Nothobranchius furzeri: one gene and its partner. The protein of the gene in region 1 interacts with the protein of each later gene in a pairwise test. Links are inferred from orthologs where the notes say so. Each region holds a gene or a part of one and is shown on either strand. Other genes may lie near its edges.

Region 1 (5,909 bases):
TCTCTCTCTCTCTCTCTCTCTCTCTCTTTTTTTTCTAAATTCTTTTTTATATTTCAAATTTTTTGTTTTTCGTTAGCGCCTCATCTTGAGAGGCGCTAAAGAAAAGATTGTTTCTTCTTCTTCTAGCATACAGCAGGTTAAGGTGAGGTTAAGGTTCATCTGTAGGTGATTTACCTTTCTCAGAGAGAAACCTAGGAATTTAAGGGTTAAATGCATTACGTATCAGTTTGGACTGTTTATTAAATTTTCCTAAAAGAGTCACTAATATCGTCTGGCTGAATGTATCGCAATACAACGTGACATATTGTATCGCCAGAGTTTCACCAATACAGATCCCTAATGTTCTTTATCAGGAATGTCTCAGTACTCTCCAATCCAGGTCCTTGAGATCCCCCTACCCAACATGTTTCCTGCTCCAACACACCTGTTTAGCAGCCCATCCGGCACTGCAGAAACCTGTTAATCACCTCAAATCAGAGTGTAGGAGCAGAGAAACCACTAAAACAAGCTAGATAGCGGCTCTCTGAGACCAGGGTTGAAGAGCACTGATCTAATCCATCCTGGGAGATGTAGGCATGTCACTGGAACAGAGCTGTACCACAGTTCAAGTTTGATAAAGGCTAAACATCCCAACACAGCAGCATCGGCACACAGGCGTACCTGGGTTGGCTGTACTGACTGGCTTCTTCGGTCCAGATTTTGAGCTCAAAGCTGCAGCTGGAGGCATTCTGCTCAGAGTCATCCAGCTCTCGGCCTGTAAACACTGACAACACACACATGCGCGCACACACACGCCATACAAGTAAACAGGTGAGTCTAACCGGTATAATCATCCTCACCTGTACACCTGTTAGCTTTATCAAGTAGAACCAGACCAGTTAATTGGTTTCCTAATTCGATCAGCTGATTTTGCATTTGCCTCATTATAGTTGATCTACTAAAACCAGCTAAGCTGATGCTAAAATGTTCTGACATCTCACCAGAAAGACAAAACAAACAAGGTTTGTTGTTTTAGCAGCTGACCCAAATTATTAGTGTTCAGGAAACACATTCCATCAGCTGTTCCCGGCTTCACCAGAGCAGGAACAGACAGCTTGTGTTTCATTTTCAAAGCTGTGCAACAGAAATAAGTCAGACTGAGTGTATTTTGTGCATCTTGCTTATACCTAATGTTTGTCTTCTCTGCATGGATTAGTCATGTCTGATTTTGCAGAGTGAGACTGTCTGTCATGGGAAAAATTGGAAAAATAGGAAATGCAGTCTTTCCCAGAAGATGTGAACTGGGATCAGCTTCATAAAACTGAGCTATGTACAGAAGTAAAGTCTAGCTACACACACCTAGAAAATCAAATTCCATCACAGTGAGTGCTGGAGGCCTACGTGTCTGGTTTAAATCTGCTCCATCAGGCGTGCAGCTCAAACAATGATGTGCTTTCCTTTCCCCTGACATGTCATGTCATGAACATTCACTGTCAGAAGCCATAGATTCATCCTGAAGGCTAGGGCGTCAAAGCAAAAGACAAGATGTTCCAAAATCACAGCATGCAGCAGTGGTATATTTTACCTTAGCATGGCTCAAGCGTCCCATCCTCAGCAGGGAGGTCGCCATTCTGCTGTGCAGCCAGTCTACACATCAAAATAAACCCACATAAATCAACACAGCAGAACATCTGCAGCAGTGCATATAAGAAGAATCTTACACGGTTCTGAAGAGCAAGGCAGCTGAGCAACACTTTGTTGGTGGGGAGAGGAGAGGGTGTCCTGGTGAGAGCAAAGGGTTCTGGATCCTGTTGGATCAGCTGCTGGTGATGCAGGGGCACTAAACAGAGCAGAACTGGTTGGGCCGTTTACGTAACACGCCTCGGTCACGCCCCCAACACACACCCGCGCGCGCCCCCCTCATATATCCTTTTATTTTTTATATATTATAGTTTTTTACTTTAGATTCTGTTGTACATGTTTTCTGTTCACGAAGACCAGAGTTTTTTTAAAACTAAAAGTATTTTTCATGAACAAAATCAATTCACATTGTTGAAGAACATTCAGTTCTGGTTCTGACTGACCGATGTGTTTGGGCCGGGGGCGTGACTGTTCCATAATAGCGTCCGACGTCATAAACGCGCGACCAAACAAGCTTTTACTCTCTCCGCGTGGACTCCTCCTGTCGCGATAATGACTTCTGTGAGGTTTTGTCGAGACTGGTTTCTTTTAAGCTGCAACAAGAAGCTCGTAGCGGTTCACACTAAAGAGAGCAGGTTCGAACTGCTTCGTGTTGTTAGGGTTTCTGCCCGGTGACCCAGACGTGTTTGCTAGCTGTTAGCTAGGTGTTAGCTGTAAACAAACAGCTGACAGGGACTGGAGGGGAGGTTTCTTCTGTTTTTGTAGTGTTGTGTTCATAGAGAAGCGGCGCAGTCCCATCGTGACTGAACACTCTTTGTTTTAGTGAAAACGTCGCGATTGTGCGTTTAAAACCTTATTATATAGTCTCCTTTATTTGTAGTAGATCAGGAAACAGCTGTTCAGGTGGACTGGTTCGCGTGTAGTGCTTTCATGGCACTTCTCCAAGGTTCCCAGTTGCAAGTGGACTGTTGTCCTCTCATCTAGCGTCTCTGCTGGTTTCCTACTGGTGCTTATTAAACACTAAGCTATGCTATTTCACGTGTTCTCCACATTTCTGTTGCAGGGAACCATTTGTGTTTGATTGTAGCGATGCTGAGAAACCCCCCAAAAATCTGAAGGATGACGGAAACAGGTGAAAATGATGGTCATGGAGGGAATGAGCATCCACGAAAACACCCTAATCGTTTTACAACTGTTATCTCTGTCATCAGTAACAACGGCTCCACAGAGGAAACAGGAAGTGATGAAGTCCTCGCCATTGCAGTGTCTTCATCAGGAAAACTGGTGGCGTTAACTGATGACACCAAAAGACTGGTTCTGTTTGAGTGTGAGCCCTCATGGCGCTGCATCAGTACCAGGTACAGCTCGGACAGCTTTACACCAGCCAAACTTGGACCCAAAACACACTGCAGCCACCAGAAAGAGCTCTCAATAGAGAAACACAACAAAAACAAAACCTTCTTACAGTAACTTCAACCAAAGTTATACAAATAATGCCCTAAAGACCCAAACATCTGTTTGCTAACTCGATTTATCTTCATTTAATGTGATTTGTCTAAAGATCCAACTGGTCAGAGCTCACTCACACATCAGCCACTGATCACTCAGATGTGTGTGTATCATCTGAAGCTGTTGGTGAAGCACCGCACTAGAGACCAGGGCCTCATTTAGAAAACCTAGAGTAGGGTCCTTACTGAAAGCTCAGCAAAAAAAAAACTTTTGTATTAACACTGCTTACACACAGCTGCGCACAATTCTTGCTTTATAAATCAGACTGTGTGTGCGTGCATGCATGCTGTTGTTGAACAGGTGGGTGGTCAGGAGGTGCGTGTCTCTGGTGTTCAGTCAGGCTGAAGACGAGCTGCTGGTGGCTGATAAATCAGGAGACGTGTACTCGTTCTCAGTGGTGGAGCCACAGGCAGAGGGCGAGCTGAAGATGGGACACCTCTCCATGTTGCTCTCTATGGTGAGGATCAGTGAGCTGATGTTTTGATTGTTACAGCTGATCAACAAACATGTTTTCTTTTATTCTTCTATTAAACGTAGACTTTGAGTATCAGTGTTAGTTTCTCTCAGATTCATCACAGGTTTTCCCTGCTTGATTTTAGGTCGTTTCACCAGATGACAAGTTTATCATCACAGCTGATCGAGATGAGAAGATCAGAGTCAGCCATCGCAGGTCTCCGTACAACATCCAGTCCTTCTGCCTGGGACATCGCCAGTGAGTGTCTGGTATAAACACACAAGTCATTGATACACTTCAGTGCAACAGCTGTTTTTATTTCCTTGTTCAAAGGTTTCTCCTCTTAACGAGCTGTTGTTTTTGTTAACTGAAAGTAATGTGAAGATGCTGTAAAACCTCTCTGACCTGATGAGGTTGTCCCATCCTGTCTCTCAGGTTTGTCAGTACCCTGCACATCCCACCCAGCCACCCTCACTGGCTGCTGTCTGGATCAGGGGTAGGTCAGCATCTCCCTAAGTTATAAAGTCAAGAGTCATTCACATGACAAGCTGTGTGTAAGTATGACCTGTTGCTTCAGGCATCTAGAGCCTATGAAGTGTGTGTGTGTGTTCATCAGGACGGGACGATGAAACTGTGGGAGTTTGAGTCGGGCCGTCTGCTGCAGAGCTGGGACCTGTCACAGTTGGACGAGAGCCAGAGTTCTGATCCAGATAAGGTGCAGCTCCGTGTCCAACACTGTCCTCATGAGACAAATGTAAAAGAGAACATGTCCTCGAACATTTTACCTGACAAAGTAACGGTTAAAATAAACATTTAGAAAGTATCCTTCTCTCACCCACCTGCTCAATGATCAGCAAGCTTTCCCTGTAAAATGTTGGATCACACGCTAAACAGAGTTAGTTTATCAGCTGTTATCACATAATATTATTTTTCTTATCTCGATTCAATTCAAGTTTATTTATAAAGCGCCAAATCACTACAAGCGTCATCTCAAGGACCTTCACACAGTAAACAAACCAATACAGGTCAGGTCATTAAGCCAATCAGTAAAAAGTTTCCTATATAAGGAACCCAGCAGGTTGCATCGAGTCACTGACTAGTGTCAGAGTCTTTACAGCAATCCTCATACTAAGCAAGCATGCAGCGACAGTGGAGAGGAAAACTCCCTTTTAACAGGAAGGAACCTCCAGAGGATCCTGGCTCAGTATAAGCAGCCATCCACCACGACTCACTGGGGATGGAGAAGACAGAGCACACACACACACACAACATAGTAAATATTCTATTTGGTGAGAGATAAACTTTATTGTATTCATCCTAGTGAATCTATAATTAAACGGGTAAACTAGAACACGTCTCTTATTTTTATCTTCCTTTTTTGCACCAAGCACCACAGCAATTTCCTAATGTTGTGATTCTCGCACATATGGCAATAAAACCTTCAGATTCTGATTAACTGCTGGTGTTTCTGCTGAATCTAAACAGTATGAACTCACTCCACTCTGTCTTGTTTCTGCCGAGTGTTTCTAGACCCCAACCTGATCCAAGTTCTGTGCTTATGAGCCGGAAAGGGTCGATACGTTGTTACCATGACTGGTTTGTGTTCCAGAACACTGCTGTAGTGCGGATCATCAGCTCCTCTGATGGATGTCATGTAGCTGTACTCTGTGAAGGGTGAGTATCCTGACTCAGTTCTCCCTGCTGCTATGCTAATATATCTACTTAGTTCTATGCTAGCACATGTACCCTTTACCCAGAGCTCTCAAGCCTCATGCAATAAGCGTGAGACTCGCGCATTTTCCTGTTTTACACGCACTCACGCCACACATGAGATTTCTCACGCAGAAAATAAAAAAGCCCATATTGAATGGGCTACGAGCGATCAGTTCCCTGCACTCTGCACCTAACAGTGTTGTTCAGAGCTCAGCCTAAGCCCCGCCCTCTGTGTAGCTGTCGGTCTGGCATGCAGCCAAAGCTGCGTAACACTCCTCCTTTTGAGAGTTTTTGCTAGCCCAGGGGGCGGCAACCGCACGCCTCTTCCACCCATCTGATGCGGCTCTCTGTGTTTGTGAAATAATGAATGAATAAATATATTTTTATTTTACTGCATTAATTTTTTATCTGCATGCCAATTCTAAATGTGAAGGTTGTCTGTAAACCTGAACCGGTCCAACCCGGTCTTACTGTGAGACCGGGTTGACTGGTCACCTGCTTGTGCGTAATCAGATGTCTCTGTAGGAGCTTTCTGAGCTGAAGAGGATATGAGGTTCTGGACTCGGACAGGCTCATGGATGCGTCACCATTGGAGACGGGAACTAGCGCTATT
Region 2 (6,089 bases), on another chromosome or scaffold:
AGTTGCTAATTGAAAACATGGAAAAAACTTTATTTGCCGATCTTTGATTTGTGGTTCACGTCCTCCAGTGGAATCCTCAGAGGTAACTGAAGTATGTTTTGGCTAATTACTGTACTTGATGCTGTGCAGGTAGCAGCAGGAGCAACAGGTCTGGCACAGAGAGCGCTGGATGAAGCCACTAACTACGCCCTGGAGAGGAAGACATTTGGCAAAGCGATTGCTGAGGTTTGTTTTTAATGAAATCCTTTAATAGAAATGCACCTGACAAGATGGGTAAACTGTTTGTGTCTGGCAGCATCAAGCCGTGTCGTTCCTGCTGGCTGAGATGGCCATGAAGGTGGAGCTGGCCCGGATGGCGTACCAGCGGTCCGCTTGGGAACGGGATCAGGGTCGCAGAAACACTTATTACGCCTCCATCGCCAAGGCCTTCGCTGGAGACATCGCCAATCAGGTGGCTTCTGATGCCGTTCAGATTTTTGGAGGCAACGGCTTCAACAGCGAGTACCCGGTGGAGAAGCTGATGAGGGATGCAAAGATCTACCAGGTGGGTGTTGCCTTTGCATGCAGGTGAAGCTGGAGGCTTTCATTTTAAATTGAATCTGTTCTTTTGTAGATCTATGAAGGCACAGCTCAAATCCAAAGGCTCATCATTGCCAGAGAACACCTAGGAAGATTCCAGAAATGAAATCAGCTGTTTGACTTTTCTTCTTCTGCATTTAAATATTGTACTTTGGATATAAATAAGCTCCTGTCAAACTAATCTGGCCTCAGGATGCAGCTCTAGATGTTGTTTGCCTTAAAACGGATTCATTCTGCTCTGCAGTATCAAACAAGTTCAGACCACGAAAAGGAAACATTTTTAAGACATAAATAATCGTGTTGTTTCCAGTTTAGCACATTTTGTACAAAAACATCTTTTGAATGTGAAGGAAAGAGAGTCTGTTCAGGTTGGAAATGATCATCAGCAGGATACAAATAAATGTGTTTAGAAGGAAATCTGTTTCTGAACTAAAACTGTTGCAGTTATTCTCGTTCACGAGTGTTTTGTTGATAAAGATGTTTTTTTTAATGAAAATCCGGTTGAAGGTCAAAGTTCAGACTTGGCTCACACCTTTGTGATTTTTGTTAACTTGTCTTCATGCCTGTAGTCATGCCTTAAACACACAACTGACTCTGGTCAAATGTGTAAAGTTGTATAAATTCATTTAACACTAGAATGTGTGGAAGTAATTCTGCATGCTGTCAGCCAGTTCCACTCAGCAGACATTATCAACATTATGGTAAACTTCTGCACACTTGCTCACTAATGTTGGATGTAATGCTGTATGATTTTTCTGAGCCGTCCACTTAATAAATTCATTCTGGATTATATGGTTTGGTTTTATGGATGTCGGTCATTCTTTTGGATGAGTGAACAAAGGAAATCCTAAATGTATTAATGAAAAAAAAAAACTGATCACCATTATATGTACTGATTGTAAACAAACATTTAACGCTTTAAATGTTAGTCATGTTACATTTTTACGTATTTGTAGCCGTTTTTAAATCTAGTTTCTGTTAAAACTTTACTGATGTATTTCCTGAAGAATAGGTGTTTTAAATATGATAGCTAATGGTATAATTTAAAGGAAGCTTTTTGATGAATAAGTAAAAGTTTATTTATATAGCGCCTTTCACAGATATAAATCACAACATGATAAAGATCAGAGCAAATACCTCTAACCAATAAAAACATCTGAAAAACAATAGCAGTGATAAACGTAGAAAATAAAATCATGAGTATAAACAAAGGGAAGGTGTGAACTCGAACAAAACCATCTTTTTGAAACATTTAGGGAGGTAACGCCTGGATGAAAAGGTGAGTTTTTAGATGATTTTTAAAGACCTCTACAGTGTTAGAGAGACGGAGATTTGAAGGTAGACTGTTCCAAAGTCTGGGGCCAATAGTCTGAAAGGCCCTGTCCCCTTTGGTTTACAGTCTGGTTCGAGGAACAGCCAGGAGGTTTTCAGATGTGGATCTAAGTTCCGAGAGGTGATGTGTGGGGATAAAAGCTCAGATAGGTAGCTTGGAGCCTGGTTGTTAAGAGCTCTATAGGTCAGGAGGACTAAAACTTTAAACTGTATTCTATATTCTACCGGGAGCCAGTGGAGGGACTGTAAAACTGGAGTGATGTGAGCTCGTCTGCTGGATTTGGTTAGGAGTCCAGCTGCTGCATTTTGGATGGCTTGAAGGCGTGAGAGGGAGGTTTTGCTGAGACCAGTAAAAAGAGCGTTACAGTAGTCTAAGCGTGATGACACAAAGGCATGGATGATTTTTTCCAGATCTGCAGTAGAAACCAGTTTACGGACTTTTGAAATGTTTCTCAGTTGAAAGAAACAAGAGCGGGAGATGGTTTTGACGTGAGTCTAAACTTAAAGCTGGATCAAAAATAACTCCTAGGTTTCTAATGTTGGCCTTGGCTGATGGGCAAAGTAAAAGTAAAGTAAAAGTAACTTTTCCAGTTTTTTCCCTAGAATAGTTACATATTTTTACTATACTATCACTAAAAGTACAAATACAAAACACTTAGTATTTTTGATTTCAAAACCGCACAATAAATAACTCAAATTGATATTTTGTTCTTGTAATACTTCAATCAAACCAGAAGGTGGCGGTAAAGTCTGAAACTATACGACATTTAAAACCGTAGAAGAAGAAGGCCGGAAGTAGCTTGACCATGCAAAATATGTCAGAATGGTAATCCGTCACTTGTTCTTCTGTGCTTTAGAGCATCGTTTTATAATTAAAGTGTGTGTAAATGTTATCTTGTCTTCTTTATTTAAATGCTGTGCCGAAGTGGATGCTACCCTTGTTAGCATTTAGCAGCTAGTCATAACAATGTGTCCTCCTGTATTCGTTTAACTACAGCGTAGTTGTGTCTTGTGACCGTTTCTGTTGTGTTTTTGTCAGAGTGCTCAACTAAAAGATGTCATCATTAAACCTGACGCTCCCAGCTGGCTGCTGCTGGACAAACATGCAGATTACATCGCTGCCTACGGGTCCAAGAAGGACGACTATGTGAGTGACGTTTTATTTACACTTAGTTTGTAGGATTTGTGTCGTCTCGTTTTTATCTGCCTCTGTCGATAAAACCTCGTTTCAGAAGTTTTAAACGTTTTATTTATTTATTTTGGGTTAAGATAAAAGATGCATTCAGGTGTTTTAAAAGGTAAGTTTTTTGTCCCAATTTTCCACAAAGTATATTAAAAAAGACAGAAAATGCTTTAAAGAAACCAAAGATGTACATTTTAAAAAATAATTATAAGACTAAAGAGACGGCCCTCACGTCTCATGAGCACCCACATCAGTGGGGATCTCCCCTGGACCCAAAACAGATTGCCAAGAAGGCAAAATTTTGAACTGCCCTCCACAACTCTCAGCAACTACAGCAGCCTGATCATCTGATTCACTGGTTAAGATTGTGTGCACAAATAAGAAATTTTACTTTGGTTTAACGGGTTTTTGCAACAGGAATTAAATAATGTTTTAAACCCAAAATCAAACTGTACCTGGTCTTTGGTGTTAATGAAATCTGACACCTCTGTGCTGCAGGAGTACACACTGTCAGAGTACCTGAGGATGAGCGGTATCTACTGGGGGCTGACGGTGATGGATCTGATGGGTCAGCTGCCCAGGATGAGCCGTCAGGAGATCATAGACTTCATCAAAGCCTGCCAACACGAGTGTGGAGGCGTCAGCGCCAGTATTGGACATGACCCACACCTGCTGTACACCCTCAGCGCCATCCAGGTGACACAAAGCCTCATTATAATAAATCACAAATGCTAAGGATGTGAGGAAAACTCAGATGAGCTAAACGATCACATGTGTTTTTCTTTAAGGTTTTTAGTTGACATCTTTTTATTTTTACACGTCTTTCTCAGATCTTGTGCTTGTATGACAGCCTGGATGCGATCGATGTTGACAAAGTGGTGGAATATGTGAAAGGGCTTCAGCAGGAGGATGGCTCTTTTGCAGGGGACAAATGGGGTGAGCGAGCTTTACTCTCTCTTTCATTTAGAGTAAAAATAAAAAGTCATTTTCACAAAGCAAAGCAGCTCTTTAGAGAAACCTGCACAACAAACTCTTAGATGTCTGAGAATAAGGAGCTGCATCTGGAATTGTGCACAAGCTTTAACTATAAGATTATTTAAAGATCTTTATCGTAACTGAAGTTTTCGTTCTTTTCAGGAGAAATAGACACACGCTTTTCTTTCTGTGCGGTTGCTACGCTAGCGTTACTGGTACGTACGGGTTTGTCTGAAAATAACCGTAATGCAGGCTGAACCAACAGTTCTGTGATAAAACTCACTCAGTTGCATCTTTTTTCCTGATGTCTGTGAACTTTTTAAAGGAGGTCGTGAGTTTGTTATTTAGTCAGATTAACCATACCTCTGAAGATTACTTTCTAGTCTTCATCTGTCCTTTCCCAGGGGAAAATGGACTCGATAAACGTAGACAAGGCGGTTGAGTTCGTCCTGTCCTGTATGAATTTTGATGGAGGTTTTGGCTGCAGACCTGGTTCAGAGTCTCACGCTGGTCAGGTGAGTTTTTGTCCCCAAACAACAATGTAAAAAAACCTAAAGGTTCAATTTATAATAGAATGAAAAATCTTCTGACATTAAACCCCCTGTTGCTTTTTTACGCTTTCATAAGATTTACTGCTGCACTGGTTTCCTGTCGCTCACTGGCCAGCTGCACCAGCTGAACGCCGACCTGTTGGGCTGGTGGCTCTGTGAGAGGCAGCTGCCATCTGGAGGCCTCAACGGGAGACCAGAGAAGGTCTGCCACCTCCTGATGATGTTTGGTTTTAGATTTGTTTGGAAAAATGACCAAAGAAACCCTTTTTTTAAGACTTGTCTTTAATCAAACCTCCATCTGACGCAGCTCCCAGATGTTTGCTACTCGTGGTGGGTTCTGGCATCGCTGAAGATCATCGGCCGGATCCACTGGATCGACAAAGCCAAGCTGCGGCGGTTTATTCTGGCCTGTCAGGACGAGGAGACGGGAGGTTTTGCAGACCGACCAGGAGACGTGGTGAGACGTGTTCTGAAAAGCAGAGCTCAGATTTTCCTCCAGTGTTCTGAATGTTCTGGTCTCTCCTCTGCAGGTGGATCCTTTCCACACTCTGTTCGGGATCGCCGGTCTCTCTCTCCTCGGCGACGAGCAGATCAAGGCAGTAAATCCGGTTCTGTGCATGCCGGAGGACGTCCTGCAGAGGGTCCACCTGCAGCCCGACCTCCTCAGCTAGCCCATCATCATCCTCACAAACACCGCTACCCTCACATAAACTCCCCTCAGCTGGAAGCAGGAAGTGGATCCGGACTCATCTCTGTTTCACTCTTCGGCCTTAATCCTTCCTCTGCTCACGTTTCTATCCAGCGTATCGTGTTTCAGCTGTTGAAGTTTAAACATAATTTAAAAACACATTCCTTACACTTAAATGCATCACTTCCATCAGCTGCAGCTAAGAATTAATATTATTGTTTATGTGGAACTTTGGATTCAGCCGGGAGGAAAAAGTGTTTTTGGCACCTTAAACTCTTAGCAGTTACGTAGCTGCTTTTTAATCATAAAAGGCGTTTTTATGAGCAGCAAGAGCGATGTGGAGGACACTAACGGTGTTTGCAGCAGACAGGCTTTCTGGGAAACCTAACTAAACAATATTCTACGTTTACAGCTTTATTCACTATTTATTAAACCTATTCACAGCTCTCTAAGGATTCTGGGAAATTTCTGTTAAACATTTGAGTCGTAAATTCTTCACTTTTATTGTCTTATTGTCAAACGTTTGTTTTGTTGTTGTGAACTGATCCGTGTCCGTTGGTACAGAGTAAATAAATCACACCAGTGTTCAAATTTCTAGTGTTTTTTTTTTCTGATTTAGAAGCCAAACATTGTTCCAGTTACAGATCTGATAACTTATGTTCACTAAGACAACTTGAGATCGGTTTAGAAATGAGCTTCACATCAATAGGAAACTTGTTTATGTTATGTTTTTCACTATTTTACTGCAGACACTCAGTAACGTTCTCATATTTGTATTCAG

What was found.
Region 2: the proteins of wdr4 (region 1) and rabggtb interact in binary tests that used the Homo sapiens proteins (3 or more experiments, as listed by UniProt). The two-hybrid records come from large-scale screens. The link is inferred for Nothobranchius furzeri from reciprocal best matches to the Homo sapiens genes WDR4 and RABGGTB.

The regions. Positions count from the first base shown.
Region 1 is NC_091754.1:38,325,170-38,331,078, reverse strand, and holds the start of wdr4 (tRNA (guanine-N(7)-)-methyltransferase non-catalytic subunit wdr4), read left to right. Parts: upstream 1-2,097; 5' UTR 2,098-2,172; coding exon 2,173-2,255; intron 2,256-2,683; coding exon 2,684-2,752; intron 2,753-2,831; coding exon 2,832-2,978; intron 2,979-3,429; coding exon 3,430-3,586; intron 3,587-3,728; coding exon 3,729-3,841; intron 3,842-4,018; coding exon 4,019-4,079; intron 4,080-4,199; coding exon 4,200-4,298; intron 4,299-5,192; coding exon 5,193-5,257; intron 5,258-5,909. Other genes in the region: si:ch211-140m22.7 (protein bangles and beads), read right to left, coding at 661-763, 1,565-1,609. UniProt on the Homo sapiens protein: Non-catalytic component of the METTL1-WDR4 methyltransferase complex required for the formation of N(7)-methylguanine in a subset of RNA species, such as tRNAs, mRNAs and microRNAs (miRNAs).
Region 2 is NC_091751.1:41,397,980-41,404,068, forward strand, and holds rabggtb (geranylgeranyl transferase type-2 subunit beta), read left to right. Parts: upstream 1-2,613; 5' UTR 2,614-2,734; coding exon 2,735-2,737; intron 2,738-2,950; coding exon 2,951-3,058; intron 3,059-3,592; coding exon 3,593-3,790; intron 3,791-3,924; coding exon 3,925-4,030; intron 4,031-4,231; coding exon 4,232-4,284; intron 4,285-4,473; coding exon 4,474-4,584; intron 4,585-4,696; coding exon 4,697-4,822; intron 4,823-4,927; coding exon 4,928-5,077; intron 5,078-5,150; coding exon 5,151-5,291; 3' UTR 5,292-5,899; downstream 5,900-6,089. Other genes in the region: acadm (medium-chain specific acyl-CoA dehydrogenase, mitochondrial), read left to right, coding at 130-225, 296-544, 614-685. UniProt on the Homo sapiens protein: Catalyzes the transfer of a geranylgeranyl moiety from geranylgeranyl diphosphate to both cysteines of Rab proteins with the C-terminal sequence -XXCC, -XCXC and -CCXX, such as RAB1A, RAB3A, RAB5A and RAB7A.